Linked DNA regions of Oreochromis niloticus. The protein of the gene in region 2 interacts with the protein of the main gene of each other region in a pairwise test. Links are inferred from orthologs where the notes say so. Each region holds a gene or a part of one and is shown on either strand. Other genes may lie near its edges. The genes, in order: ptmab, nupr1b, mphosph6 and ran.

Evidence for each region.
Region 1: the proteins of nupr1b (region 2) and ptmab interact in binary tests that used the Homo sapiens proteins (3 or more experiments, as listed by UniProt). The link is inferred for Oreochromis niloticus from reciprocal best matches to the Homo sapiens genes NUPR1 and PTMA.
Region 3: the proteins of nupr1b (region 2) and mphosph6 interact in a two-hybrid assay, tested with the Homo sapiens proteins (2 studies listed by BioGRID and IntAct). The link is inferred for Oreochromis niloticus from reciprocal best matches to the Homo sapiens genes NUPR1 and MPHOSPH6.
Region 4: the proteins of nupr1b (region 2) and ran interact in a two-hybrid assay, tested with the Homo sapiens proteins (2 studies listed by BioGRID and IntAct). The link is inferred for Oreochromis niloticus from reciprocal best matches to the Homo sapiens genes NUPR1 and RAN.

What each region holds. Positions count from the first base shown.
Region 1 is NC_031982.2:35,431,613-35,438,530, reverse strand, and holds the start of ptmab (prothymosin alpha-B), read left to right. Parts: upstream 1-3,908; 5' UTR 3,909-4,027; coding exon 4,028-4,072; intron 4,073-6,183; coding exon 6,184-6,249; intron 6,250-6,327; coding exon 6,328-6,412; intron 6,413-6,499; coding exon 6,500-6,585; intron 6,586-6,686; coding exon 6,687-6,731; 3' UTR 6,732-6,918.
Region 2 is NC_031969.2:33,682,288-33,689,502, forward strand, and holds nupr1b (nuclear protein 1b), read left to right. Parts: upstream 1-4,929; 5' UTR 4,930-5,011; coding exon 5,012-5,108; intron 5,109-5,186; coding exon 5,187-5,314; 3' UTR 5,315-5,322; intron 5,323-6,574; 3' UTR 6,575-6,692; downstream 6,693-7,215. UniProt on the Homo sapiens protein: Transcription regulator that converts stress signals into a program of gene expression that empowers cells with resistance to the stress induced by a change in their microenvironment.
Region 3 is NC_031972.2:1,932,323-1,939,161, forward strand, and holds the start of mphosph6 (M-phase phosphoprotein 6), read right to left. Parts: upstream 3,008-6,839; 5' UTR 2,859-3,007; coding exon 2,811-2,858; intron 2,058-2,810; coding exon 1,945-2,057; intron 1-1,944. UniProt on the Homo sapiens protein: RNA-binding protein that associates with the RNA exosome complex. Involved in the 3'-processing of the 7S pre-RNA to the mature 5.8S rRNA and play a role in recruiting the RNA exosome complex to pre-rRNA; this function may include C1D.
Region 4 is NC_031966.2:22,419,910-22,426,878, reverse strand, and holds ran (GTP-binding nuclear protein Ran), read left to right. Parts: upstream 1-3,952; 5' UTR 3,953-4,106; intron 4,107-4,996; 5' UTR 4,997-5,021; coding exon 5,022-5,054; intron 5,055-5,197; coding exon 5,198-5,282; intron 5,283-5,509; coding exon 5,510-5,635; intron 5,636-5,741; coding exon 5,742-5,929; intron 5,930-6,023; coding exon 6,024-6,194; intron 6,195-6,311; coding exon 6,312-6,356; 3' UTR 6,357-6,697; downstream 6,698-6,969. Other genes in the region: ndufs8b (NADH:ubiquinone oxidoreductase core subunit S8b), read left to right, coding at 488-660, 2,354-2,482, 2,672-2,803. UniProt on the Homo sapiens protein: GTPase involved in nucleocytoplasmic transport, participating both to the import and the export from the nucleus of proteins and RNAs. Switches between a cytoplasmic GDP- and a nuclear GTP-bound state by nucleotide exchange and GTP hydrolysis.

The DNA.
Region 1 (6,918 bases), on a different chromosome or scaffold from region 2:
GCATTAATAATAATGACAGTATGGATAGCAGCATAATAAATGACGGTGACAGTATCGTGTAGCTAAGCAGTTTCAATTGTTTTTGTGCTTATTTACTACGGCGACAGCTCTGGGAAAGAAGCTATCCCTGAATCTGTTTGTCCTGGTTTTATGTGAATGAAGATGATCTGCACACTAAAGTTCCTGTCTCTGCTTTTAAATTTAAAGTCACGTCTCAAATGTTTTTAAATGTATAACTGGACATTTTTCATATGATAATTGTTACAGCCTGAAGCGGTTTCCCACCACACACACTGGGAGTGTATCAGAAGACGCAGCTGTCCGTGAACAGAGTTATTGTCTGCGTCCGCAGCTGATTTGCATCAGTGACCAGTTTATGTGACTGCACTCGCTGCTGCAGGGTGACGATAATCATGTAGCAGCGGCTGCTTCAGTGAATAAAGTGAGACTGCATGTGCTTCGTGTAGTTTTTATTTCTGAAATCTAAAATGTACATTAAACTCCAGTGTTAGCATGGAGCTATTCTGGCATCTACTGATTAAATAAATCCCTGAACCTTACCAACTGTGAGCTCTGAGCGGCGGCATGCTCAGCTGTGTAATGGCAAAGGAGGACCAGCTGACACCCAGCATGGTCCGACCAACCTGAGAACCAAAGTGTGTTATTTATCACTGAATAAAACTAAACTAACAGCAGTCTTTCTTTTGCTTCTCCAGAACAGATCCTCAGCATTAAGTACCTGTCTCAGCTGATACTGATGTTCTGTGGTTCAAATTCCTCGACAAATCTGCGGTTAATCAAATTATCTACAACCAATTGACACGCCGCAAACTCAGAGCTTTGGAGGCCAGAGGAAGCTGACTGCTCTGCACAGCCGTTAATCCAACCTTGGCTCATAGATTTGTTTTGGTACTCGGAGATGGACCGACAGTCAGGTTCTGGTGCACCAAATCAGTACTGAACCCGACTGGCCAACTCTGTTACTCTTTTCTGCTTATAATTAATTAATTGTCTTACTTTGTTTATTTTAAGAAACCATTTAGGCCTTCTTTGGGTTTCCAATGTGTCAAACACACCAGAAACACAGATGTTTAGATGACATCATCAGTCTTGTCTGCAGTTTGGTTATGGTGAGCCGTGATGCAGGCAGTAATGCACATCTACAAGCCACATGCATTTTTGTGATTTGTTAACTCTACATTTACATTTCTTTTTGGGAAACTGCGTCTGGTTTTATGATTTTAATAGTCATTTTTTCATTGGGGTGTAGTTCATGTTTTAAGAAAAAGAGGACCTCTTTAAAAGAAGTTCAAACCTGATGGAAATACACCATCTCTGCTAGTTTCTGTTCTAACATAGCCGATGGTCACATGATGAATAAATGATGGACGTAGCCATTGTGATGTCACCTGTTAGTTTGTAAAGGCTGAAGCTGAGCCCATTGACCATCATCATCTTATCTTACTGAAAGAAGATGTCATGTTAGAGGGATACAGGATGCTTATAGGCTAGCGACTTGTCGATCACACCCAGCTTTACTGTGCTTCTGGGAACTGATGGAATTTGATTAGACTTAAAACACACGAGTGAGACCACAAACTGTTGATGATAGCGTTTACTGAGGTCACACAGCGCTCTCGATTCGACACATAGGATGATTTTTTTCACTTGTTTTAGACTGTAATAGTTCCTGTGAAAGATTTGTGTCTTCAGAATCATCAGGAACTTTTCTTGGGAGCTTCTTTACTTTGCTGTTGTGTTTTACATCTGGCGTTACCATGGAAACCAGATTTAACGCAGCCTAAGCCCGAAAATACAGAGATTTACCTGCAAGGTTAAAATTCGGACATAGCTTCTTAAGTTCTGAAAAGTACCTTTTTCTTACACAATGGCCAGCAGGGGGCGACTCCTCTGGCTGGTTTAGTTGTATAGGAGCCTATGAGACATTGACCTTTGGCTCCCCCAATCCATGACCTCATTAAAGACTTTCCTGATGGGTCTATAGTCGCAATCAATACCATATAATGTTCCTTTTTAAATAACAATCTCTGCTAGAGTCAAAAATGACAATGACTCAGGGTACGATTGTGCATGTGACTTACAACTCCTGGCAGTATCGAGTTTCTCGTCCGGTTTCAACACCAAGACGCTTCTGGACGATTCAGTAAGGGATGGCTCATCACATTAGCTACATCCATCATCTTTATTCAGTATATGACTGTAATGCACAGTATAAAAGTTGGGCACAGCAGCTTTAATACACAAATTCAAAATCACCACATAAACAGGTGGACACGCTGCGGGTGCGTGTCAGTAAATTCATTTTTTCCACACACTCAAAACGTGGTTAGATGGATGCAGCAGGGAGACAGAGTTTGGTTCTGTTGAAGGATCACCGCCTCCATCTGCTCTCTCTGATACCTGTTTAAATATTTTATAATACAGCCTAATGAAATATGAAGAGCCCGGCTTTTCCAAACAATTAAGCATAATGAGTGTGTCTCTCAGAGATCGTGGCGCTAAAACTAAAAGGCAACAACTGGGAAATCAAACATGTCAAAGACAGAACTGAAACTCTACACTGATGGAAGCACAGTCCGGATCCAGCATCCGGGCCCGCTCTTTACCGTCAGCCGACTGAGCCTAGTTTTGAATTGACGGACGTTGGCGATAACCAATCAGCGCCTGCCGTGCGCCAAAGCTGTGTTTATTCCACTTAACCGACCAATCAGAGCCGTCCTCTGCGGGCAAGTGCGTCATCAAAGTAGAATGTGAATGTGGGCTGCCTGTTATCGGAGCACACTCTGCTCCCATCCCCCATCTCCACTGAGCAATAGCGGCTGCCTTTTTGCGTGCCGCTTTGTCCTTCTCAGTTCAGCTTGTAAAAGCCATGTGTACAAAAGTCGGTAAGGAAAATACGTGTTTGCCCTTGTGTTTCATAAGAATGCGCGTCAGTTCATGAGCACATTATAATTATTTTCCGCACTTGTCTCATCGCATGTCTTTTATGTCGCACTGCTTTTTTCCCTCCTCCACGGCGGGGCATTTCTCTGTGGGTTCTAACAATGGAGGCGGAGGAAATGAGGCCACCAGCACTGTTCACTGCACCCGCTCACTGAGCCCGAACAGCCCGACTCACGGCGTCAGAGCCGGCTGTGTGTGTGTTGTTCGACGGGTACAGTGTTTATTTGTGTCTCGACCTTGGCGCACGAATTTATGGGCTGTTATGTAAAAAAAAAAAAAAAGCCCTCAAGAGTGTCAAGTGCGCACATACAGGGATGAGTTTCAAACATGGACGTCGGGAAGGGGCGGGGCGACGAAGAGCTGCGATGTGACATGGCGGCGCCGCTCCACATTTACACTGTTAGCGCCTTTTATCTGACTGATGTTGTTCACATGGAGCCTGAGATGTGACACTAACGTTTGCGTAGAAAAGCCCGATTTAATCCGTGATAACATCCGTGTCGTCCACGTTTCCCTCCCAAACACTTCGCCTCTATTCCCCCGTCGCGGCGGTGGGCGGGAGAAACCGTCTGAAGTCGCCGCTTGACTCGTCCAGACGCACATCAATCAATCAAACTGACACTACGTCAACCGAAGCGCTCTCGATTCGACATATTTACTGCGTAACTCGATGGAAACTCGATTTTCTCGCGCTCACGGTGCTGTGGAGCTGCCACGGTTCCGGCTCCGGTCCGTTTTGTGGGCTTTTATCGACTCGGATTATTGTTTTAGGGGAGAAAGGGACGGTTGCAGCGGTAGAATAGGAGGGGGCGTGGCCTTTAGGTTAAGAAATTCTATCCATTGTTACTCGACGCGCTAGGAGAACGCCTCTGTCGAGCCCCTGGCCAATCAGAGACCACCGACCTCATGAAGACCCCGCCCACAAGCCTATATTAAAGGCTCGGCCGTCAGAAGCGTTGGCCACTGGCACAATATAATACTGATTGATCCGCTAACTGAGACGAGGGGATTTACTTTATTCAACCTTTCATTTCAGCCGTCCTTTATTTTATTCTACTAAACAATGGCAGACACACAGGTCGACTCCGGCTCGGATATCTCTGCCAAGGTAAGCTGCCGCACACCTCCATTCGCGGGGCCGTGTCTCCGCGGAGCCCCTTACAAGAATAAAGCTCTCCAGGCTCTAACCTACATTTAAAACCTCTCCGTCGTTGCTTCGCGCTCGCTCGGACTTTGTGGAGTCTGAGGAGGAGGAGGAGGAGAAGAAAAGCCGGTGTTCGCCTCTTTGCCCCTGAACTCGGTGTGTAGAGGGAAGTGGGGGGTCTCGGCACCGCATCACGGACACGGGCAGCGTTAAAGCGCCGCGGCTCATTGTCCGGAGAGTCCTGGTCTGCGCGGGTCTTTGTTTCTGCGAGCAGCTCTGTTCTCCTGCCGGCACGCACACCTCCAAGCGAGACCCGGACACCGAGCAGCTCCGGTCCCCCGGCTCGCTCCCCGCGGGGTTTTCGGACTCGTTGTGAGCGCCGGGGCGCCGCGCATATTTATCCCGCATCTCGGGCTCTTAACGCGGATTAGATCGAGGGGAGGTTCCGCTCCCGGTGCAGGGACTCGGTCGGGTCGCATTACCGGGAGCGGTGACACACTCAGCGGCCGGTGGATGCGTGGACGCGGACCTCCAGCCTGGGGTTTGCTCCGTTTGAATGGAGGACAGCGCGTCAGGCGGTGCGCAGTCCTCCGGTGAACTTTCGGTTCTGCACTTTTCCTCCCGCCTTTTTTATTTCTTATTTCCGTGAGCCCGTTTGTTAAAGCCACCGGCCTGCCTGCACCGTCCGACCCCGTTTGTTTACCGACTCCGGAAGGTCGGCGGCCGCCGCTGCTCCAGCCTGAGCTGCTCCGGTCTCCGCTCCCGGAGCGCGTGAGCGGCTATGAGCCCGGGGCTTCCGCTTTGCTTTGGTGTTTTCGGGGTTTGTTTGCAGGGCGCGCTTCGGTCTCACGGGAAACTTTTCTTTCTTTTTTTTGTAATGCAGACACTTCTTTCTCCCTGTGTGTGTGTGTGTGTGTGTGTGTGTGTGCTCGCGTGCGCGCGCGTGGCCGGGCTGTGGAGGTGTGATGTGACGCTGCTGGTTTTCCCCTCTTTCTGCGGGTTTTCCTCCGTTTACACGTTTGAGCTGCTTTTGTTGTGAAAACGCGAGTTTTTGTGCGCGTGGACTTTGGATCAGATCGGGTAAAAGTTTAATCGCCCCCGCGGGGGGAGTCGTGGCTCCGCGGACCGCGATCATCCCGAGAATAATTCTCAATAATTCTGAGCGATTATAAGAAATGTCCATTTGGAGGAGGTGGTAAAGGTGGAGGGGGTGGAGAGGGGAAAAGTTGGACAGGCATTAGCGCGGGTAATCCGGGGAGCCTGTTCACTATTTTTAGTTGTGGAGCGTTTTTACGCACAAGCGCGTTTTTACGCGCAGCGCGCGGGCAGCCTGCTCTCCTCCTGCCGCTTAACAGCTTAATGGATTTCAACCAATAAGATTATGGAGAGCAATTAATCAATAACAGCCTACGTGTGGATGCGTGAGGCGCGCGTGCGGCGGGGATAATGGGCTGTGGGGGAACAAAACGAGGAAGAGGAGCGGCGTTAGTGCGCGCTGAGCTCGAGCACGGAGGCGGAAGGTGCCGTGTCTTCGCTTCGCTCGCTTGCCATGTGTCGTCTTCTATTGTCCTTTCCTGCCTCCGTTACAACGAGCAGCAGCAGCAGCGTGCATCGCGCTCTCTCCGCCGCCTCCTCCTCCTCCATCATCGACCCCTCCTCCTGCTCCCTCCCTGCTCCTGCGCCCTCCTGTGTTATTTTAAACGGGGTGCATCCTGGGTATTGCAGTGCTTCTCCCGGGCGTGTCTCGTGACATATGGCAGCGACAGCGGCCCATAGAAGACTACAATACCCAGAATGCCCCGCGGGCCACATCAAAGTATCAGATTACAACACATTAGAGGGGATGGAGTGGGAGGAGAGGAAGGAGATGGGGGGAGGATCTGCAGAGGCCAATATGGTGTTTAAATAGGAAGGCTGAAAAACGTGCAGCTCCCAGCAAGCACTGGGACGCTGCTAAGTAGGCCAGTAGGTAGAGGGGCAGGTAGCAGCGGTGGGCGGAGTCTAAACCCAGCAGCGCGTTTCGGTGGGCAGATGAGCAGGTTCAGTTTCTGATGTTTGCTTTTATTTGTTTTCAGGACCTGAAAGAGAAGAAGCTGGTGGAGGAGAAGGAGAACGGCAAAGACGCCGCCACCAACGGAAAGGTGAGTGCCATCACCGCCGCCACAGCAGCAACTCTGTGCACAGAGGTGGACATTTTTAACCATTTTTGTGTTTTCCAGGAGAATGAGGAGAACGGTGAGCCCGAGGTAGATGACGAGGAGGACGAGGAGGTGGACGAGGAAGAAGAGGAAGATGATGGAGAAGGTAGCTTGAAGGCTTATTTGCCTTTTAAAAAATAATAAACTCCTGTTAGAGTCTAAAAATTTTCACCTTTCAACTTTTGTCCTGTAGGTGATGAGGAAGATGAGGAGGAGGATGAAGACGAGATTGAGGGTGGCACAAAACGGGCAGCTGAGGATGACGAGGACGACGATGAGGTGAGGCAGCAGCGCCTAAGACGCCCTTAAAACGAGCGGTGCCATGACACCCAGCAGGCGCCGGTCTAACCCGCCACCGTCTTCTTCTTGTCTTCTTTCAGGACGACGTCGAAACCAAGAAGCAGAAAACCGACGATGACGATTGATGCGTTTCCCCCGCGCCATCCTGCTGAACCACTTCCTGATTCTTCACCTCTGACCGTTTTTCTATGTCGCAGGTGGAGGGGCTGGAGGACTGATTTAAAGGAAAAAATAATAATAATAAAAAAATCCAACATGGTCATTAGCAAGTAGAGTTCAACAAACACCCGCCACGTCCACACTCACCCGAGC
Region 2 (7,215 bases):
CTGAATTATGAAAGGACAGAAGGTCAAACACTGGCAGGTATGTAGAGCACGTCTGCTCATTTATAATTGGACGTTCTTCTGGAAACTCCAGTTGTTGTTTTTCTTTGGAAAAGACAAGATTTCTGTTTCTGTGGTACAACCTGTCATATTTGTTCAATCTGGCATGAAAGTTGCATAAAAATGTTTTTTCTTCACTTTTGTGGAGAAGGTTCGAGGTTACTTTATTTACACCTGTAGGTAAATTTGCTTTACTGAAAAATGTGTTTGGCAACACACACCTGTTTTGGTAATTAGACGAGATGAATCAAATCAAAAAACAGTTCTTATTAAGTTCAGTGATGGCAGTTCACCCCATAGAGGGGTTACCCTGTGACTCACCTGTCAGACGCCTGGACCATCTCACTATGTGACTCAGTGCATTTTTCTCTGTGGCAGAGGTCTGACTGAACCATGCCACCAAACAAAGAGATAAAAATAAATTAGAATTCCTCGGTCAGTGTGGAAATGAGCAAGTTCCCTTTGGCAGTGAGGGTGCCGGTGACCCTCTGTGCTTCTTTCTCGCTCCATCTCTGTGGCCTAAAGTCAGAAACCATGTCTTTGTTTTAGATATGTTCAACTGAAGGTAAGAGACTGAGTTCTTTTGCACCAGTGGTGGGCAGTAACATGTAATCTGATTACTTTTTCAAGTAACAAGTAAAGTAAGGGATTAAGATTGCAAAAAAGTAATTAGATTACCATTACTTTCGCGTTATTAAACCGTGATTTTGTTTGTGAGAGTGTCTCATGACAATGATGTGCGAGTGTGTGCGATGTCTGTGGCAGCAACAGACGTGTGCAGATCAACCGTGGATAACATGGAGTGATGGAGAGAGTACGACCATGCAGCGTTTAAAGCGTGGAAGTAATCACATTACTTTGAGTTTGATTCTGTAAAAACTGACAAAAACATCAGCGTCTGCTGTTCACTCTGCGTGGGAAGAAAACTTCTTTCTACAGCAAAGAATTAAACTTCAACTTTGAGCAGCGAGCACGCCGCCACGGGAATGTGACACTCACAGAGAAACCCCCGGATCCTCCCACTGACATGACCGCTGTGGGCAAACCTCCACCCGCCCCACTCCTGCTAAACAGGTGACAATAGATTTAAGAGCGACAGGACTCAGAGCTGCTGAATCTTTGATTTTATTTATTTCCTGCTGTGTTTTACTTGCATCTATTTGAAAGAGTGTAAACACAAAACAATATTTATTATTTTTATATGCTGGGATATGCAGGAAATAGGTTTAAATGTTAAAGTCAAAGACTGATGGATATAATTTAATTCATGCTTAATTCATTGTGCATAAAGATGAAAACAAATAAAACAATTTATAAAAAGAGACTTTTTCATTTGGTTACATTTTATATGATGGATTATGCAGAAAAAATAAATTTGGGCTGAAACGTCTGTTGCTTTATTACGAATTCAGGTTGTGTATCATGTTTTAAAAAGTAATTAAGTAACTAATTACTTTTGAAAATAAGTAAACAGTAAAGTAATGGGATTACTTTCATATGAACTGTATGAGAGTCTTTTAGACGTCGCTGAGTTTGTTTCAGTTTGTGTTTCACTTCCAAACATCCAAAAATCAGAAGAACTAAAACATTCAAAGTGTCTGAAAAATCTCTGTCTGAATTAAAACTGTTCAATCATTTCATGTTAAAATGATTCTGCATGCTTTATTTTACATACATGGAATTCTATTATGACACGTTAAGTAATCATCACTGTTCGTCTTTTGCACTGTACATTTTTCATATTTAACCCGTCAGTACAAACTTTGGGCCCTGACTTTAGTAAATCAGAGGTGGCTAAGGCTGTGCTGGTTTGAGACGGATAAAAACTGGAAACACTGGTTCAAAGAAGCAGCACTGTGATGGAGGCCAGCTGTAAAAATACTAAAACTCAGAAAAACCAAAATGATTCGCGTGCACGAGAGGACGCACGTGCACCCTAAACCCTCAACATGTCCAACGATCAGTGACCTCGGCCTCTCAGGTGAATGAAATAAATAAATGAAACAATTTCAGGAGATTTAAAAGGAAATGTTTACAGCTGTGTTAGTGCGTGTAACGTGCAGTAAAAGGATTCATGAAGATGAAAACACCTGAGCAAGTTTTCAGCCGCAGTTAATGTTTACCTGCTGATATCAGCTGATATCTGTGACCTGTGTGTTCAGTGGGAGCGCGACACGCCTCGCACATGTGACTGCGCACACGTCTGCAGCAAAGAAAACATCCTGAGCTCAGATCCTGCAGATTACACACTCGGTTTAAAACGTGTAAACATGCAGCCGTGACTTAGAGCTGCGACATAAACATGATAAAAGGTTGATTTCATGAAAAAAGTCAGTTATTCATGAAATATTTCAAACTGTGAGATAAACAGTCAAACGTGAGGAGAGAAAGTACAGAAACAGAAGTTTCCCTGATTCAGCAGAATAACGAGATTTCAGCTCGACGTCAAAACGTCAAAAAATCATGTTTCACTGAGTCGGAGCTGCAGCATGAAGACATGATCGTCCACAGTTTGCTGCTAAAAACACAAAATCATCATCGGAAAGATTCGACTTCCTGAGTCAGAAAAGATACAAATAAATTTATAAGATAAAAAATAAAACTTATGAATGATAAACAAACACGTGTGATGGGTTTAAATCTAAAAAGCAGAAAATTCAATTCAAGGTTTAAAAGTTGTGTGTGTGTCTGTGTGTGTGTGTCTGCGTGTGTCTGTGTCTGTGTGTGTCTGTGTGTGTGTGTCTGTGTGTGTGTGTGTGTGTCTGTGTGTGTGTGTGTCTGTGTGTGTGTGTCTGTGTGTGTGTGTCTCTGTGTGTGTGTGTGTGTGTGTGTGTCTGCGTGTGTCTGTGTCTGTGTGTGTCTGTGTGTGTGTGTCTGCGTGTGTCTGTGTCTGTGTGTGTCTGTGTGTGTGTGTCTGTGTGTGTGTGTCTGCGTGTGTCTGTGTCTGTGTGTGTCTGTGTGTGTGTGTGTGTGTCTGTGTGTGTGTGTGTGTGTGTGTGTGTGTGTGTGTGTCTGTGTGTGTGTGTCTGCGTGTGTCTGTGTCTGTGTGTGTCTGTGTGTGTGTGTCTGTGTGTGTGTGTGTGTGTCTGTGTGTGTGTGTGTGTGTGTGTGTGTCTGTGTGTGTGTGTCTGCGTGTGTCTGTGTCTGTGTGTCTGTGTGTGTGTGTCTGCGTGTGTCTGTGTGTCTGTGTGTGTGTGTCTGTGTGTGTGTGTCTGTCTGTGTGTGTCTGTGTGTGTGTGTCTGTGTGTGTGTCTGTGTGTGTCTGTGTCTGTGTGTGTGTGTCTGTGTGTGTGTGTGTGTCTGTGTGTGTGTGTCTGTGTGTGTCTGTGTGTGTGTGTGTGTGTGTGTCTGTGTGTGTCTGTGTCTGTGTGTGTGTGTCTGTGTGTGTCTGTGTGTGTGTGTCTGTGTGTGTCTGTGTCTGTGTGTGTCTGTGTCTGTGTGTGTGTGTGTGTCTGTGTGTGTCTGTGTCTGTGTGTGTCTGTGTGTGTCTGTGTCTGTGTGTGTCTGTGTCTGTGTGTGTGTCTGTGTGTGTCTGTGTCTGTGTGTGTCTGTGTGTGTCTGTGTCTGTGTGTGTGTGTCTGTGTGTGTCTGTGTGTGTGTGTGTCTGTGTCTGTGTGTGTCTGTGTCTGTGTGTCAGGAGGTCATGTTTACGACACGCCATGACTCAGGAAAACGTTCCTGCAGTCTCACATCCTCCTCTGCAGCCGGCTCAGTCACGTCGCTCACGAGGAGTCTGAGAAGCCTCCTCCCGACTCCTCCCGACTCCTCCTGACTCCTCCTGCTGCTGTTTACAGCACAAACCACCTGAAACAGCTTCAGTTGCTCAGAAAGTGACACCTGTGCTGAGCTGAAGTGTTTTACAGCCCAAATGTAAAAATGTCCTGACTCTCAAACACGAGCAGACAACAAAGCGCTCGTTCTTCTGTTTGTTCCTCTGAGACGCTCAGTCCAAAGTTTGTTCCACACAGATTAGATAACTCAGTTTAAATGTGAACACAAGGACACAAAGCTAATATATGCAGTAACTGCAGCGGCCCTTTCATGCTGCTTTGAATCCTTCAGCAGCGTCTTCAGTTTTCGCTGCATGTTTTTCCAAAAAAGTAAGTATTTAAACTGATATGAAAAACAAAAGTGGAAACGGTTACAATCATGTCTGAAAGGATGTCTGAGTGATGAGAGTGATGAGAGGAAACAAACCGAAAAGCCAGGCTCCAAAAGTCACAGTGAAGCTTCTGGAGATGAGCCTCGGTCACATTAATGGAAACATTTCTGCAGGATGACTCTGATCTGCTGTCACGGCCTGCAGTGCAGTTGGAGCAGCGTTAGATAAACACCATGAACCAGGTCAGGGTCATGTGACCACAGCAGCTGCTGATAACCAAGGAAAACAGACCCGGGATCATCTGCGGGAACCAAGGTCGGGTCTCACAGTGAGTCACAGGACCAGAGTCCACGTACACAGGTGTCACAGGCATGTGATGAAGATAACACAAGCTTCATGGTCAAAAACAGGACAGGTTAAGGAAAGTTAGGATACCTTGGTGGGTACATAAAAAGTACCAAAACAAGAGTATACAGTCAAATAAGTTTAAATTAGCTGTAAAAACCAACGAGAGCTAATAACTATGTAAACAAAGGTTTAAAACTATGAGAAGAAATACTGAATGTGACTTTGAATAAATAAAATGTAGAAATATGAGATAAAAAGTTGTGTATTCAACACAAAGAGTGTGTTCTTAATCTTGTTATGCAGAGGCTGCAGCTCTGTGGCTGATGCAACATTAGTGCAGAGGAAAGAGGAGCCCTGCAGGAGGAGTCAGGAGGAGGAGGAGGAGGAGGTGCATGCTTCTCATATATAAACAAACACAGAAAGACGAAAAACAGACAAACCTGCGAACACTGAGGCTTACTACGCAGACGCAAAGATCTCTGACAAACTTCTAGAAAAACAAACATGAGTCACGTCGACGTGAAAAACATGAAGCCCACCAAGTTTGAGGACGAGTACTACGACGAGTACGAGTACTATAACCTGACGGATAAATACGCAGGTGAGCTACCCTGTCCTGGTTCCGTCCGGTTCGTGTTCCGGGCCCGGAAAACTCACTGCTTTAGTTTTTCTGTTGCAGAAGGTTCGGCTCGGAAGGGCAGGACAAAGAAGGAGGCCAGCGACAACACCAACAGACACAACCCCGCAGGACATGAGCGCAAGATCGTGGAGAAGCTCCAGAACAGCGAGAAGAAAGCCAAGGAGTGAATACTGAGGTAAACCCTGGAAAACCGTGTTTGTGTGTCAGTGACTGTGCGCCGAAGTAAAGTAGGAATGCAGTTTCAGCCAGAGCAAAGTCGTCTGACTCACACGAGTCCGTTTGCACTGACAGAGGCCATAAACACTTAAAAACGGGCAGATTTCTGAACGCTGTCTGGTCTGTGGCTATTTGGAACGCTGGAACAGGGCAAACGTGACGCCAGACGCGCCGCGTGCAGAACTTCCTTTACGATTGTTTGAATTTAAGCCTCTCCCGCAGCGGTTTTTGCTGCCACACTTTGATTTTACAGCCCTCAGAAAAGAGTCCAAAGTTTCTTTTTATATCGAGTCCTGCGCCGAATTTTACACAGCGTGTTTCCTGTGTAGGAGGTCCAGTTTGAATCTTTGTTCTCGGTTTCTTTGCTCGAGGATCGGTCTGAATCTGAAATCGGCGATTTTTAAACGAATGTTTGGAACACAGCATACTGAACCACATCAAGCATTTTCCTAAACTGCGCTTGCTCCACAGTTATTAACAATAATTAACTGTTAATTAACAGCTGAATTTAAAGCCAGCTGTTCTTGTTACTGTTAAGGTTGAATAGTAGTGACGTCATGAGTGAAAAGACAGCTTAGCTGTTGTTTTAGCTATAATATTTGTCATATATTTCCCGTAGAATATGAATTCCCTCAGAACAAAACTGTTTATTAACTCCTGCCGCTCGCCTCCTGCACGTCATCACCAGGTTCATAGTTTGAATGGGCAGATATCCAGTAGAGGTTTGGTGCAGAGGGCAGAGGCTAACAGTTTGTACACTTTTACAATCCTCCTCCTGCTCTTCCTCTCCTTCTTTGCCCCACCCCACCCCAAGCCTTCTCCATCCTCCTTCTTTTCCACATCCCTGTTCGTCTTCTTCATGTTCTCCCTTGTCCTCTTCCTCCTCCTGCCTCCTCATCTCTTTTCTTCTTACGTGCCCTCCTGGTGGCCTGTGCAGGTACTGCAAGTCAATTAGAAATGATACAGTTCTTACATCATTTTTAAGCTTTATTATGATTTAATCCTACAGGATAAACTCGTATATGTAGCTGACAGATCACGTAATGAAACTGTAGATGAAGAAAACATTATGGAAAAGTTTAATTTTGGATTTTAAAGCTTTTTTTAAAAAGATTTTTAACACATGGTGCTGCTGGTGGTAAATAGATGCTTGAACTCCTCGTGTTTATGTCTTTTAATTAATTATTTGATATTTTTCTTTTCTACTTCAGGGAATCTCGGACGGCTCATCCCGGAAACCGACCATGGCGTCCTTGGCAACAGAACGACACGTGCAGATGGCAGGAGCGTCTGAGCTCCGATGGGCCCGCAGGTGTTGGAGAGCTCTCACCTGAGGCGGCGTGCCCCTGGGTCCCTGCTCGGACCGCGACCGCGCACCGAGACTGCGGTGGCGGCAAATGGCTCATTCTTAAGGATGTTTTTTAAAACTTGTTTTTACGATTAAAGACTTATTAAACTGAAATGAGAGTGTTCATTTTTTCTTCCTTTTAGGCCTCAGTGAAAAAACACAGCCTGTATGTAAAAGATGGATGTAGTGAGGTGCCAGGAAAGAGAGCCTGGAAAGTTCAGACATTGATGTTTAAACACCAGACATTGGTGCCAGCGTTCCTCCCTGTCCAGGATGTGTACATCCTCATCGTTGAAAGAGTGTCCACTGGCCTGTAGGTGTAAATAGACTGCAGAGTCCTGGCCTGATGAGGTAGCTCTTCTGTGTTGTAGCCAGAGGTTGTTTGGTTTCCCCGATGTATACATCCTGGCAATCCTCCTGCACTTAACAGCGTACACTATGTTACTCTGTTTGTGTCGGGGGACCCGATCCTTGGGGTGGACCAGTTTTTGGCGCAGCGTATTT
Region 3 (6,839 bases), on a different chromosome or scaffold from region 2:
TCCAGAATAACATCATCCGCCTCCATGATCACATGACCTCTGACCCCTAAAGACTTAAAACACACTTCACTGTGTGTTCAGACTAGAGATGGCACAATACCACTTTTTTATGTCCGATACCGATATCATAAATTTGGATATCTGCCGATACCTTAATGAATCCGATATAGTGTGTTTTTTAATCAATAAAACTGTTTTTTAATATCTTGCTGCATTTTGTATAAGTTCATACTCAAGTTTAAATAAACAACAACACTAAAGCTATTCTGTTATACCTGTATGTAAAAAATACACTGCACCCAAAATATTTCATAGTTCAGCAACACTGATCAATCTAATAAACTTAAACCTGCTCCATCCTCCCTATTCTGGTATTTTAAAGAGTACTTAGCAGAAATATTAAGCAACCTAACTAACAGGGTTGCAAACTCCCAGCAAAAAAAGAAATAGGGAACCACCCCCCACCCTCCACCTCATGATGCTTAATCGATGTAATCAACTTTAATTTGATGCAGGGTGAAAAAAAATGCACAGAAATAAATTATTTTTCAAGAATAATTAAATAGATTCAACATCTTTCTTCTACAGAACTGCAGACTGCACAGATGGTACCTTCCCAAAGGAAAAAGTACTATAGCTTACTAGGGTATATTAGACTTAACAGTTACTATATACAGTAATGGACTTCTATACATGTTACATCAGATTAAAACTTTGGGTGTAAGATTCAGATAATTATTTATTAAAAGCTAGACATTTTAAATGAGAATAAGAAAGAAAAGTATGTCTTTGTGCCCCCTTTTCCCTGTTCATGCCCCATCGGCCCCCCTGGCTACACTTTGCTAGATCCGCCCCTGCACAGTTACCAGCCGTCAGCTACGTAGAAAAGGATCCTGGTGTAGAAAGTAATATTAAATACATTCTAACAACAGCTTATCAAGGTTAAACGTGCTGCTGTTGTTCCGCCGCTGGTTTCCTCTTTCTGGAGCAAAGTGGGCCAAAAACAAAGAAGAGAGACGGACTCGCGACAGAAAAGCCAATCAGCTGATCATCATACCGAAAAGCACCACTGAACGACACAGGAAATCATTCCTGCCTGTGGCCATCTCCCTGTACAACGCATCCACTTAACACACTGGCTACTGCTACAACTACATGTTTCTTTCCAGCTATTTATTAATGTGTGACTTATGTATATATATACACACATATATATACACTATATATATATATACACACATATATATACACTATATATATATATATATATATATATATATATATATATATATATATATAGTACTATTCTTAGTTAGCGTGTTGTCTGTTTTGTTAATGTTGGTTTATAATGGAGCACTGTAACAAAAAATAATTTCCCCCAGGGATCAATAAAGTATTCTGATTGATCAGTTTCACGATTGAAGTAGCAGCAGGAGAGGGAGGGAGAGAGGCAGTCGCTCCATATATCGGTTGTTAAGCTTAACATGGGAACGCTTTACAAACATTCAGAGATGAACTTACACACTTGCTTTCTTCTCTCTGGGATAACTTCCTCGGAGATGAAATGCTGGTTTGGTAGCGAGGCTACAAATACACACAGCTGCTCTATCACGTGATCACACTGCTCCGACGTGCTACGGTTATGAGCCGAGTTACGCCGTGTCGCAAGTTTTGTGAGGTGTTTTTTTGATATTTAATGGATCGGATTACATTTTTTATTTCTCTCCGATATCCGATCCAGTAATTTAGGTCAGTATCGGACCGATACCGATACGTAATATCGGATCGGTCCATTTCTAGTTCAGACTTCAAACCAGACTCCATTCAGAAAACTGCACATTAAGCAGCTGCATGAAAAAAAGTCCTTTAACGACGGTGCGGTGAGGCTGTTATGCATTTTGCTTGAATTAAAGTGGGCGGAGCCTGAATGGCGCTCATACATACTCTTTAGCCTTGAGCTCAGGCAGGTCCAGGTACCAGTGCTCATCACTGATGATCCTCCGCTCGTCCTCCTCCAGCTGCTTCTTCGTCTCTGCGTCCAGACGTCTCTGCATGAACTGTGGACACACACACACACACACACACACACACACGTCACCTTCAGCTGACGTTTCTGTGAGGTTTTAACCACACCTGCTCTCATGAATGATGATTTTACTGCACTCAGTTGTGATTGGCTGAGATCTGCAGAGAACCACAGTTGTTTCCCTCAGTGTGAAATCTTCCACATCTGCAGAACAGATTTTTAAAGTAAAGGTGAAAATCAGCAGAGAGGGCTTTATTCTGATTGGTCAAAGCATCAGGCCGCAGAAACATCTTTTCCACGCTGGTTCAGCCTCTCCAGGAAACAAACCAGCACCCTGCAGGTTATTACCTCCCCCTGGACGTCATATCAGACTCTGATACAGTTTTTAAAGCATGAATTTCAGCCGTCGTTCCCATTATTCGTGACGTAACACAAATACTTGAGCATCCACACGGGTTCAGATTCGCATCACGTGAGAGATCATTTTAAAGTCAGAGTTTATCTTTAGAGTCTCAGACTGGCACACATTATTTATTAATAAATTACATTTACAGCCTGTTATTAACTCTGCTGCACGCCGATTTACTCTCTGGGTCACACCCGACATCCGGTAATCAATTTCAACTTCTATTTACGATTTAAAACTTCCTGTGAAGCAGAAAACCTTAAATTATCAGGATTGCTGAGTGGAGTTATGCGCCGGCGCATTACAAAGCTAACGTTCTGCTAGCTATCGGCTGCTAGCTGCTCTCGCGTGTCCGTTAGCACGCGCAGCTTCACTTACCTTCATCCGCAGCAGATTTTTGGACAGCTTCACCGACTCACTCGCCATCTTCAACCCAAGAGAATGCGGCTAACCGAACTGGAGGACCCTCGGTGCTGCACACCGAGCTAACGCCACGCTGAACAGAGGCAGAAAGAACCGAGCGCTGAACTGCTTCTCCAGCCCTGCTAATCGAGCTCTGATGTGCAGCCCAGGGGCGGATCTAGAGAAATTTTCTTAGGGTGGGGGGCAGTGTTGCCAACTTAGCGACTTTGTCGCTATATTTAGCGAGTTTTCAGACCCCCTAGCGACTTTTTTTCTTAAAAAAGTCGCTAAAAAAAGACGTGAAAGCGCGTATCGCTTTTACTCTCAACAAGCAGCGGGTGCTGTAACACAGTCAGTTCTTCTTTTACTCTTTTACTCTTATGCTGTTTTGTGGATCACAAGGTTTAAAACTACTTATAAACACACACACACACAAAGTAACTCCACCAGAGTGCCTATTTCGGATCACTTTTGCCGGTCCAAGCCCGGGTAAAGGAGCAGGGTTGGAATTGTGACATTAAAAAAAACAATAATTGCTAAAAGAAATTTAATTTGTAGTTCTAAATAAACTCTAAATGCATTTAGGACGTTTTTACTCACTTTATGTCTCTTCCACGATGTTATTTCTCTCTCCAACAACATAGGTTACAATTATATTAGCATGACCAATTATGCAAATTAGGTGATGACTTCATTTAGCGACTTCTAGCGACTTTTAGGACAACCAATAGCGATTTTCCTTACTGAGGAGTTGGCAACACTGGTGGGGGGAGCTGGTAGTGTGAGGCTTGCGGGAAAAAGCTGTCTTGCAGTTCGGAGGATTGGGCCCAGATGCTGTGATTTTTTGCGCCGTTCCGTGGCGCAAAAAAGGTTGGGGACCGCTGATCTAAGTGACTTATATATTATGTTTAACCTGAGTAGTGGGGGGGGGGTTGAAAACGATGTGCTGGGAGCCGCGCCTTGACTACCCGGTCAGCTGGTGGGTAACAGGCATCTCCGAAAACGTTGGAGCACTTTTGCAAATATGTGATGGCTTCATAAATCGAGCAGATATTTGAAGTTTACACAGCGCCATTCATCAAATATCTTAAAAGTTTATTTTGTGACCCAGAAAGAGTAATATTTCAAACTCCGCCACTGCGCGTTCCTCTGCCACTGCGTTTGAGTTTTGGATGAAATGCATTCTGGGATATTTGCCTGGGTTTAGCTACAGCAGCCAGTGAGCTGATTAGAGACCAAAACAGCCAATCAGAATGTTTTCCATCCAAGTCTGTGATTGGCTGGTTTTGTGGCACAATTATAACGGTGTACAGAAAGAGTTGAAAGCGCACAGGCAGAAATGTTGAGAGCACAAGCAACACATTGTGAGCAAGCGCAAATGCAAAAACTGAGCGAGCGGGGCTGCTATTGTGTGTGTGTGTATGGATAATAGCAAACACTGAAATACATTTTTTGCACGCAGCAATGAATTTTGTTCACTCAAATTTAGCTTTTCTTAGCTCAAAATACATTTCTCCTCAAAATGCAACACTTGCACCTGCAATTTTTTTTTACGTGTGCTCAAATTTTTTTACGTGCGCTCAGAATAGTGGCACAAAAATAACGCCATAGATTACCTGGATGACTGAGCACGCATCACCACTGAGCAACAACAGTCAATTACTTTTCATAACTCCGCAAACCTCTGATGTCAGTGTGTGTCTGTGTGTGTGTTGCTGTTTGGAGACATTAATCATTTTATGTGGTCACATTTTGTTGGACCCGCCTCCTTCTCGAGGTGTGACGTATGGCGTATGGAGATTGGTTGAAAGTGACCTATTGTTAGAGCAGCTTTGCATGATTTACAGCTCAAAATAATCCTTCTTTATCTGAATCTGGCCCTGGGAACTTCCTTTCAAAGTGGAATAAAGAAAATTTGTGTTGTATTTGTATTTGTTGTAACTTCTGCTGCCCTCTTGGAAAACAGACACTTGAAACCCAAACACCATTTCATGCTACATTATCCTGGAGCCATCGGAAAATTGGGCCCATAGTTCATTTCTGGTCTGTGCGCTTTGAGGCAAACTTGGATTTTTCTAATGAGTAAGTCGTGTGAATTGCAGCTTTTGGAATATTTGTAAATCCCAGGCCTACAGACACCAAATAATGATGTGCTACACTCTTTTTTCTGACCTTGACGTTGGGCCAGGAAGCACCAGACTGCTCGATTCGCACATGATTTTGAAAAAGTCACAAGTGGATTTGAGGGAAGTTCTGTTTTCACACAAGTGTTTCTGCCATCCTGGATTAAGTACAAAGGTACAAACTACAGGCCGGGAATGACACTATTATCACTCTGAAGATGGGAACCTGTGCTGAACTGTTAACAGCACAGTGACGGTACAGTCCAATGTCACAAACAGCAACCTTTGAAAGACTTTGTATTTAGTCTTTTTTTATTGCTCAGGGGATAAAGTGATTATTTGTATTTTAAAGGATTTGAGCTGTAAAAAAGCTGATGTGCTGATTTTACACCACCTACTGAACTGCAAACCGGAGTTTCTTCAGACAAAGGAGCAACATTTGTAAGTTCAGCTATGCCATCAGGCTTTTTTATCCATGTACATTCATTTGAATGACAATTAAAAATGAGAAATGTTATCTTTGCTTTAACTTTTGAGCATATTAAAACGATTCGTTTCCTGAAGTGCTGTGTGGCAGGCAGGATGTAGGACCCAAACGCGGGACTCGGAGACAGGAGGATTAACGACAAGCAGCAGCTTTACTGCTGCAGAACGTTTGAATATAAAATACAAGAAAACTAAACTAGAAACTCCAGTTCAAAGTAGAAAACACAAACACGACAGAGAACCAGAGTGTTACTAAGCACAGAGAGAAACACGGACAGGACAACGAGAGGATGGGGACAGGTGGTAACACACCAGGGACACATCAGACCTAACGAGACGAGGGGACGCATACCCACACACACTGCACCCAGGACAGGGACTATCAAAATAAAACAGGAAACACACGACAGGCACAGGGGCACGGCCGTGACACTGAACAGAGGGAACACGGAGCACAGGGACGGCGTGACAAACTGCCACAGGACACAGGATATGTAAGTATCCACTCTTCACTGGATCCACACAACAGCAATTAAAAATCCTGAATACTGCTCAGTTTCTCAGTCAGTGTACTGAAGAGCATTGATTATTAAAAACATACAGTGTGTAGCACATCTTTTAGGTAGACACATAAATAATGACAACTGCTGCAAATTTACTGAGAAGTTGTCCAAAATGTTTGTGCAACTTCATGACAGATTAAAGTGTGTAAAACATGATTGTGGACCATGGCTTGGATCTCCTAACAAACACCGGTCTGCTTCATGTCGAGCGTGCTGTTGGAGCTCATGGCTCCAGGTTTAAAGACGACTTGACAACTGCAAACATTTTTTAAATCATATTTGTTTCTCTTTTTTTCAGGATGTGTGGTTCAGCCCCGGCAGAAAACTCAGGCCAGCAGCAGGATTTCTGGAGGAACGTGTACGCAGTGTCAGGTGAAGGCTTCGTTCTGGCAGGAAGAAGAACTCAGCAGCACAGGAACGCCAAAAACACTGCCTCATTTTGTCTGGTACTAGAAGATAGACTTGCTTCTGAAGCCCCTTCCTTTTTGCAGCGATCTAAGCTTTTATCATTTGAGTGCTTGGCCTTCTATCTTTGGTTTGAATTTATTTACTTCTGCTTCCCACAGAACCAGAACAGAACAACATCTGGCTCAGGTTTCCCGACACATGCTGCAAACTGCCATCCACAGAGCAACGTGGACCCGGTCAAACGGGACGGTCCCACTTCAGCAAATTTTCACCCCGGGCATGCTGAGGTCACATCTCATGGACTAAGGACCTGTTCAACACTCAGAAGTAATACAATGTGTAAATGTACAGTGTACAATTACAATACAAATCTTTTTACTCAAAATATTTTTATTGAGCGATTGTGGATAAAGCTTACAAAAAAG
Region 4 (6,969 bases), on a different chromosome or scaffold from region 2:
AATTCTGATGGCAGAAGATGGTCCAACCGGTTCTATCAAAGCGTATCTATATAAAGTGTCTGATTTGTTTATGTACTGTTATTAATCATGGCCAGAAATTAAGTTAATGAGGTCAGTATACATCCATCTTATGCCTATGAGTCAGAAACTCAGGCTTCATACACCTTTAAACAGTACATTTCAGACACTCCCTGCTGTTCATTGCTTTGTTCGATGTCAGTCAGAGTATGTATCCTTAATTAGAGTCACTTCAGTGACACAGCTCTGCTTATGAATACAGCAGCCCCACCCACTACAAAATAAGGTCTATAGGGAGAGGACTTAAACCACTGTTTAACTCCTCTTCCTTTAAACTGAGCCACATTGAAGAGGTGAGTAATTGACCTCTCTTCAACTAATTCATATCTTGCAAATTAATGTGTGTCAGGGACAGTGGGCCCTTTAAGGGTTTTTTTTAACATATTTTTTATTCTTTGCCTTCACGCAGGTTTGGCAATGACCATGAGTTATCTGTTCCGTGAACCTGCCACCATCAACTACCCATTTGAGAAGGGTCCTCTGTCGCCCCGCTTTCGGGGGGAGCACGCCCTCCGCCGCTATCCTAACGGAGAGGAGCGCTGCATTGCCTGTAAGCTTTGTGAGGCTGTCTGCCCTGCTCAGGTAAACGCAAACACACAGTCCCTTTTATTATGATAGTTGTGTTTTGGTTTTGGTTTTTTGTTTTGTTTTTTGGACATGTTGAGGTTGTCTAGAGGATGTACTGAGGTACAAACAAAGCATTATACTGAACAAGAAATATGAATGACATCACTTTGACATGGCACAGCTGTTAGCCATGGATGATCAGGTTTAAGGATTTTTAGAAACTGATGGTTTGGCAGTGGCAGTTCTCTGGGCGATGGAACTGATAAAAAGACATTGAATAACCGCTTATTTCAACCACGATATGAAGAACAACGTCTCTGAAAACACAACATGCTGAAACCTTGAAGCAGACCAGTCACAGCAGCTGAAGGTTTCCAGCTGAGAACAGGAAACTGAGGCTAGAGTGGGCACAAGTGCAATAGTGTGGCAGATATTTTTGAACACATTTACCGCTCATTTAAACACCACCTTACACCGGAGTATTGTTGACACAAATAACTTCCACAATCACCAAATCTCACCAGAACTGACTGATGCTCTCATGTGAACGTGTACCCTATGTGCTTCTTAGCACCTTTTTGCATCTGCAGTACTGTGATGCAATATTTCTATTTTGCTTCAGACCAGCAGGATTTTCTTGTAATTTATTAAAGAGCTCTTCAGCAATGGCTTTCTTAGGGTCTTTTAAAGTGTTTCTGTATACATTGGCTGCTTCTTCCCTTATTTTCAATCCACTCTAGTCCTGTACCTAACCACTTTCAGAGGAATCCTTTTTTTATTAAGCCACTTAGCACTCATGAATGAATCATTCAAGACTAAAAAAAACACCCAACTCAAAGGATGAACCGTTGCTGTGCCTACAGCTTACACATAACAAACAATTTAGCAAAGAACCCATTTTAAATTGTATCTTTAGACACTTTTTATATCCGGCAAAGATCTGAGACAGGACCTAAGAACTTCATCTTACTCTACACTCTATCCATCTGCTGTTCACCAAAACCTGACCAAAAATGGGCTCAGTGGTAGGGTGTCTGTCAAGAAACATTCTTGAAACCAGATTATTGTTTTGAAGCTACCAGTGGATCATGAATTGCTAATCATTCATGATGTTTTTGTGCTATGAATACATGTATATCTCAAAAGAAAGAACAAAAACTTAAAGGTTAACACTATTGCTTGATGGGAAAACATAGACTGCTGGAACATTTCATTATTGGCAGGGATAGTATTAAGGAATGCAAACAAGGAAAAGAAGCTGAGGTATGCCAAGTTAATCGGGAGCTGGGACTGAAAATCAGGGGCAAAAGGTTTGATGGAGTGATGGCTCCATATTTAGTCTAAATCGTCATCATGATATGCAGAGGAGGTCAGGAGAGGGCTACAGCAGTGAGTGTCTACACACGGTGGAGGCTCTGTCATGGTTTAGGGCTGCCTTTAAGCCAGTGGTGTTGGAGATGTGGTCAAACTGGATGTAATTATGAACCCAGAAAACTATCATCAGATTTTGATCTGATTGGCAAAGGCTTCATTTTTCAGCATGGTAATTATCCCAAGCACACTGCCATTCAGTTTATTTGTTTGTAGTCAGTTCTCAAAGTGTCTGTAAAATGAATGTTGCTGATATTTGAATGCTTCCTACTGTTACGCCAAAAAACCAAAACGGTTTAAACATGATGCTTCCCTTTCCTTTCTCTATTGATCTCAGGCTATCACTATTGAGGCTGAGACTCGAGCCGATGGCAGCAGGCGGACCACGCGCTATGACATTGACATGACCAAATGCATCTACTGCGGCTTCTGCCAGGAAGCCTGTCCTGTTGATGCCATTGTTGAGGTAAAAACAAAAGTGTCCTCCAAGATTGATGAAGCTGAACAAGCAAATGCTAATGTGGGGATCTTTCACTGTCTTTACTCTAGTTCAGTACAGTAAATTTACAACTGAAAAACTCCACTACTCCACCCAACCCTCCTTCAAAACAGACAGTTAATGTCTTTTTAAAAAAAAATTGAATTCCTTCTTCAGGGTCCGAACTTCGAGTTCTCCACAGAGACTCACGAGGAGCTGTTGTACAACAAGGAGAAGCTGCTCAACAACGGAGACCGATGGGAGGCTGAGATAGCAGCCAACATACAGGCAGACTATCTGTACAGATAGACTCACTGTGGGAGGGTACTGTATGTTCTCCTGATATGCATTTAAAGAGATTACTGGCAGTTTTACAGTTATGCCAGCGAGTTCCGAGTGGTGAAGCCTCATATACTGAGGAAATTCTTTAAAAAACGCACAAATTTTATTCCTCTTAGGTGTAGTTGTACTTTTTGATGTTGAACTTGCACAATTTATATATACACAATGTGGGACAGACCATTTTCTGTAGCTCGTCAAAGCTTGCAATATAAGAGTATATTATTTGAAATGTTTGTTTTAAAGATATTGACAGACCTGTTGCAAATTGAATTAACTGAATTGGAAAGGGGAAAAAACCTTTGAAACTGAGAAGATGTGTTTTGTGCTTTTCTGTTTATTATATTATATCAAAAACTTGACTCTTGTTGGACCAAAACCCTTACATTAAGTGAGTTAATGACTGTGTTTTTAATGGTTTATTAGGCTGTTGTTATACGGTTGTAGCCTCCATTGTAACTATTGCTGTTTGCAGTTGTGATGCAAATAAATTACTTTTAAATTTTTAGTCAATAGAAACAAAATAAATATAATTAAATATGGTTGTTCAGTGTTTACTGGATTATCTGCTTTTTTGAGTTGCTTAATAAATGAAAATGATTAATTAAAATGAAATGTTTTTATTGACTTTTTTTTTAAGGATTTTGCATTTTCACTGAATTGGTGTTTCAACTGACTTTCACCTGTGTCAAAATTAAAACGCACTTGTGTTTTTGAAGCCAGCTGTGGTAAACAGATGGTAGTTATAGATATTATTATTGTTGTTGTAGTACACAAAGAAAGAAAATAACTTTTCATTCACTGACTTTTGTGTGGTAAAAAGTGTACCAATATTACTTGGTCTGACCTACGAAGCATCTTTGGCTGTTAGTAGGATAACACTAAACATTTTGGGTATTGGGCTCTTTTGTCTGCCACATGTGCATCCAAAAGTTGTTCAAGGAAACGAGGACGTTGCTGCTATCCTGTGTTTTTTAACAAGTTACCTCAGAAATAAACAGCTCGTAACCATACACAGCTGCCCAGCCTTAGCTGCTTGTCTGTAGTGGGAAATTATGCTTTTCTAGCTGCATGTGAATGTCCTTTAGGGTTGGATAAGTGTGTTTAAATAAAGACTGAATGCTGAATCACGTTCAGTTAGGACCGTGTTGCTTCATGATGCGTTTTTGCCGCTGCGAGGGTCACATGATAAGGGCGGAAACTGACTCATAGTCCACGCTGAATCTCCCGCGAACGCAGCCATTTACTCTTTCCTCTCTTCGAAGTGTTACCGGTGAGTCTCTGAATTCCTCTCACAATGCGGGCTATCATATATTTCAAGTTTGCATTCTTTGGGGAGAAAAGTCAGTTAAAACAATGGGCAGCTTTAAATCTTTGTCTTGCGATTTTGTAGCTGTATCCACGTGAGGAATGGGGCAACCGGGGAAGGCCGGTGGTTTTTCTTATGCGGCTAACTAGCTGTTAGCTCGATAAAAAGAATGGCTTCCATGCTGTGCTAGCTAACAGGTTAGCATGCACGGCTATCCCTCATTTTTTTTCTGCTTTGTTCTTGGGACTCGCGCGTATTCCTGTAAATACATAGTCAGTATTTTTGACAAAATATATTGTGGATGCGTGGAGTTACATTCATGTGTAGGGTACTATTTAGGCTGGGTTTGACTTGAAGTGTAGCGTGGAACACATTAGATGGGCTTCCAGTCGGATTGTTTCAGTCGAACAAGAAAAAGTGCGCTCGCCCGTCGTGTGGCGCACTCAATCTAACGTTTTTAGCTTTCCTAGCTAGCAGCCGTTGGTGTTGAAATGCGCATTTAGAAGCGCGCTTTCGTAATTTTCCATTGAATGCAAATATACATTAAACACACAAAATGAATTAAACCTTTTTTCACAACATAGGTGCACCGTTACACGTTTACTCGTTACATGTGTGAACGTTAGCTTGGATGGAAAATGCTAGAAGTTATGGCTATGTAACAAGCTATGGAGTTTAGCTAAACGACAAAATCGTAGAAAACCGCTCAAAACACCAAAATAACATCTCAACAAATCATAGCTTATGTCATATTTTGTCTTCTTGAAATGCCATTTAAAGGAGTTGCTAGCACTGCTAGTTAGTGTTGACGGACAACGTGCTAATCAACCGTCCCGCCTCGTTTTATTTAACAGAAAAGTCGCAACCACGGCGGACTCAATGGCACAGTGTGTTCCGGTGGCGGTGTTTAAGGTAAGTGCTTGCAGTCTAAGATAAATTGATGTTCCATTTCTCAGCCTTTTAACTAAATGAAGCACCGCTGTCTGTGCTAACAACGGTCAATGTGGTGAACCAGTACCAACCAGTCTAGACTAACTGTACGCTCTGCATCGCAGTTGGTTTTGGTAGGAGATGGAGGCACCGGGAAAACGACTTTTGTGAAGAGGCATATCACAGGAGAGTTTGAGAAGAAATATGTTGGTGAGTACTCGCTTCCCAGGAAGGAAATCAGCTCATTCTTCTGGTCTCAATGAGTTAAAGATGCGGTGATAGATTTGAAAGGAGGATGTATGATGCCAAATGTGTTAAATGGAACTATAGGGAGCAACATGTCCTGCATGCCCCTTCCTCAGATAAAATATGACTGTCTTCATCACTGTTTACACCTTCCTTCTCCTTATTCATTATGTCTTTGCTTGAAATTTCAGCTACTCTTGGAGTAGAGGTGCACCCACTGATTTTCCACACCAACAGAGGAGCAATCAAGTATAATGTGTGGGACACAGCCGGTCAGGAGAAGTTTGGAGGCCTGAGAGATGGCTACTACATTCAAGGTGCTCCTCGCATCCTTCGCATGCTGCTCGAGTTTCACGTTTTTAAAATTCATGTACCTTGGCTTTAGCTGAACAATACGTTAATGCTTTCTTGCTTCCTCAACAGCTCAGTGTGCTATCATCATGTTCGACGTCACTTCTCGAGTCACCTATAAGAACGTGCCCAACTGGCATCGTGACCTGGTCCGTGTCTGTGAGAACATTCCCATTGTTCTTTGTGGCAACAAGGTGGACATCAAAGACAGGAAAGTCAAAGCCAAGAGCATTGTGTTTCACCGCAAGAAGAACCTGCAGGTAATAACTGCTTGCAAAAATGTGTATTTTTGAATTGCAGAAACAACTTTTGAGTTTTGTCATTTCTAACTGCTGCAAATTTTTCTATCTGCAGTACTACGACATTTCTGCCAAGAGTAACTACAACTTTGAGAAGCCTTTCCTGTGGTTAGCAAGGAAGTTGATCGGTGATCCCAACCTGGAGTTTGTGGCAATGCCTGCCCTTGCTCCCCCAGAGGTCCAGATGGACCCATCCCTTGCTGCTAAGTATGAGGAAGAGCTTCAAGTGAGTATCACTGTACAGACTCATTTGTGTGATTTAGATGAATTTATTGTAAATTTTACTTGAGCATCTTCTAAATGTGGAACAATCTGAGACTTGACTTTGTTCTTCCATATCCAGGTTGCATCACAAACAGCACTCCCAGATGAAGAAGATGACCTCTAACCTGTTACCTAGATTTGTCCCTCCCTCCTCCCCCACCTGTGGACAGGAAGTCGTTGGAGTTTTGCCCCCTTACTGTAAAATCCCTTTTCAGATTTTTTTATTTTTGAATTTTTTTTGTTTTAAAACTTAAGTAAAAAAGAAAAAAACTTGGTGGAAAAGTTGTGGTTCTAATTTCACTGTATGACACACACCCACCCTAGTGTTGTTGTTGGCATGGCAACGTGCTACTCTTCATCGTCGAGCACCCTCCATTGCACTTACCCAGCTCACATAATGCTGTTGTACGGTGTACTGGAAGCACTAAGGGGAGTAAACTTTGAATAAAAACATTCTCGATATAACACGGCCGTTTGTGTTGTGATTTGCCTGCACGCCAACGACTTCAGGTCACAGGGAGCGCCTCGTAGTTTAAAAAGTGGCTCTAGTATATTCAAGCATCTTGGTGAGGATGATTTGGTGCACAATACAGGTTCCTGAAACTCAGGTGGATAAAAGAAACCAATAAAATTCAGCATCTGCTTTTGTGCTCTCCTGCTGTTACCAGTAAATGTTTCATATAGAAGAAGTCTCATGCCATAGCTTAGTCTGCAACATTGCCCACAGTAGGTCAAAT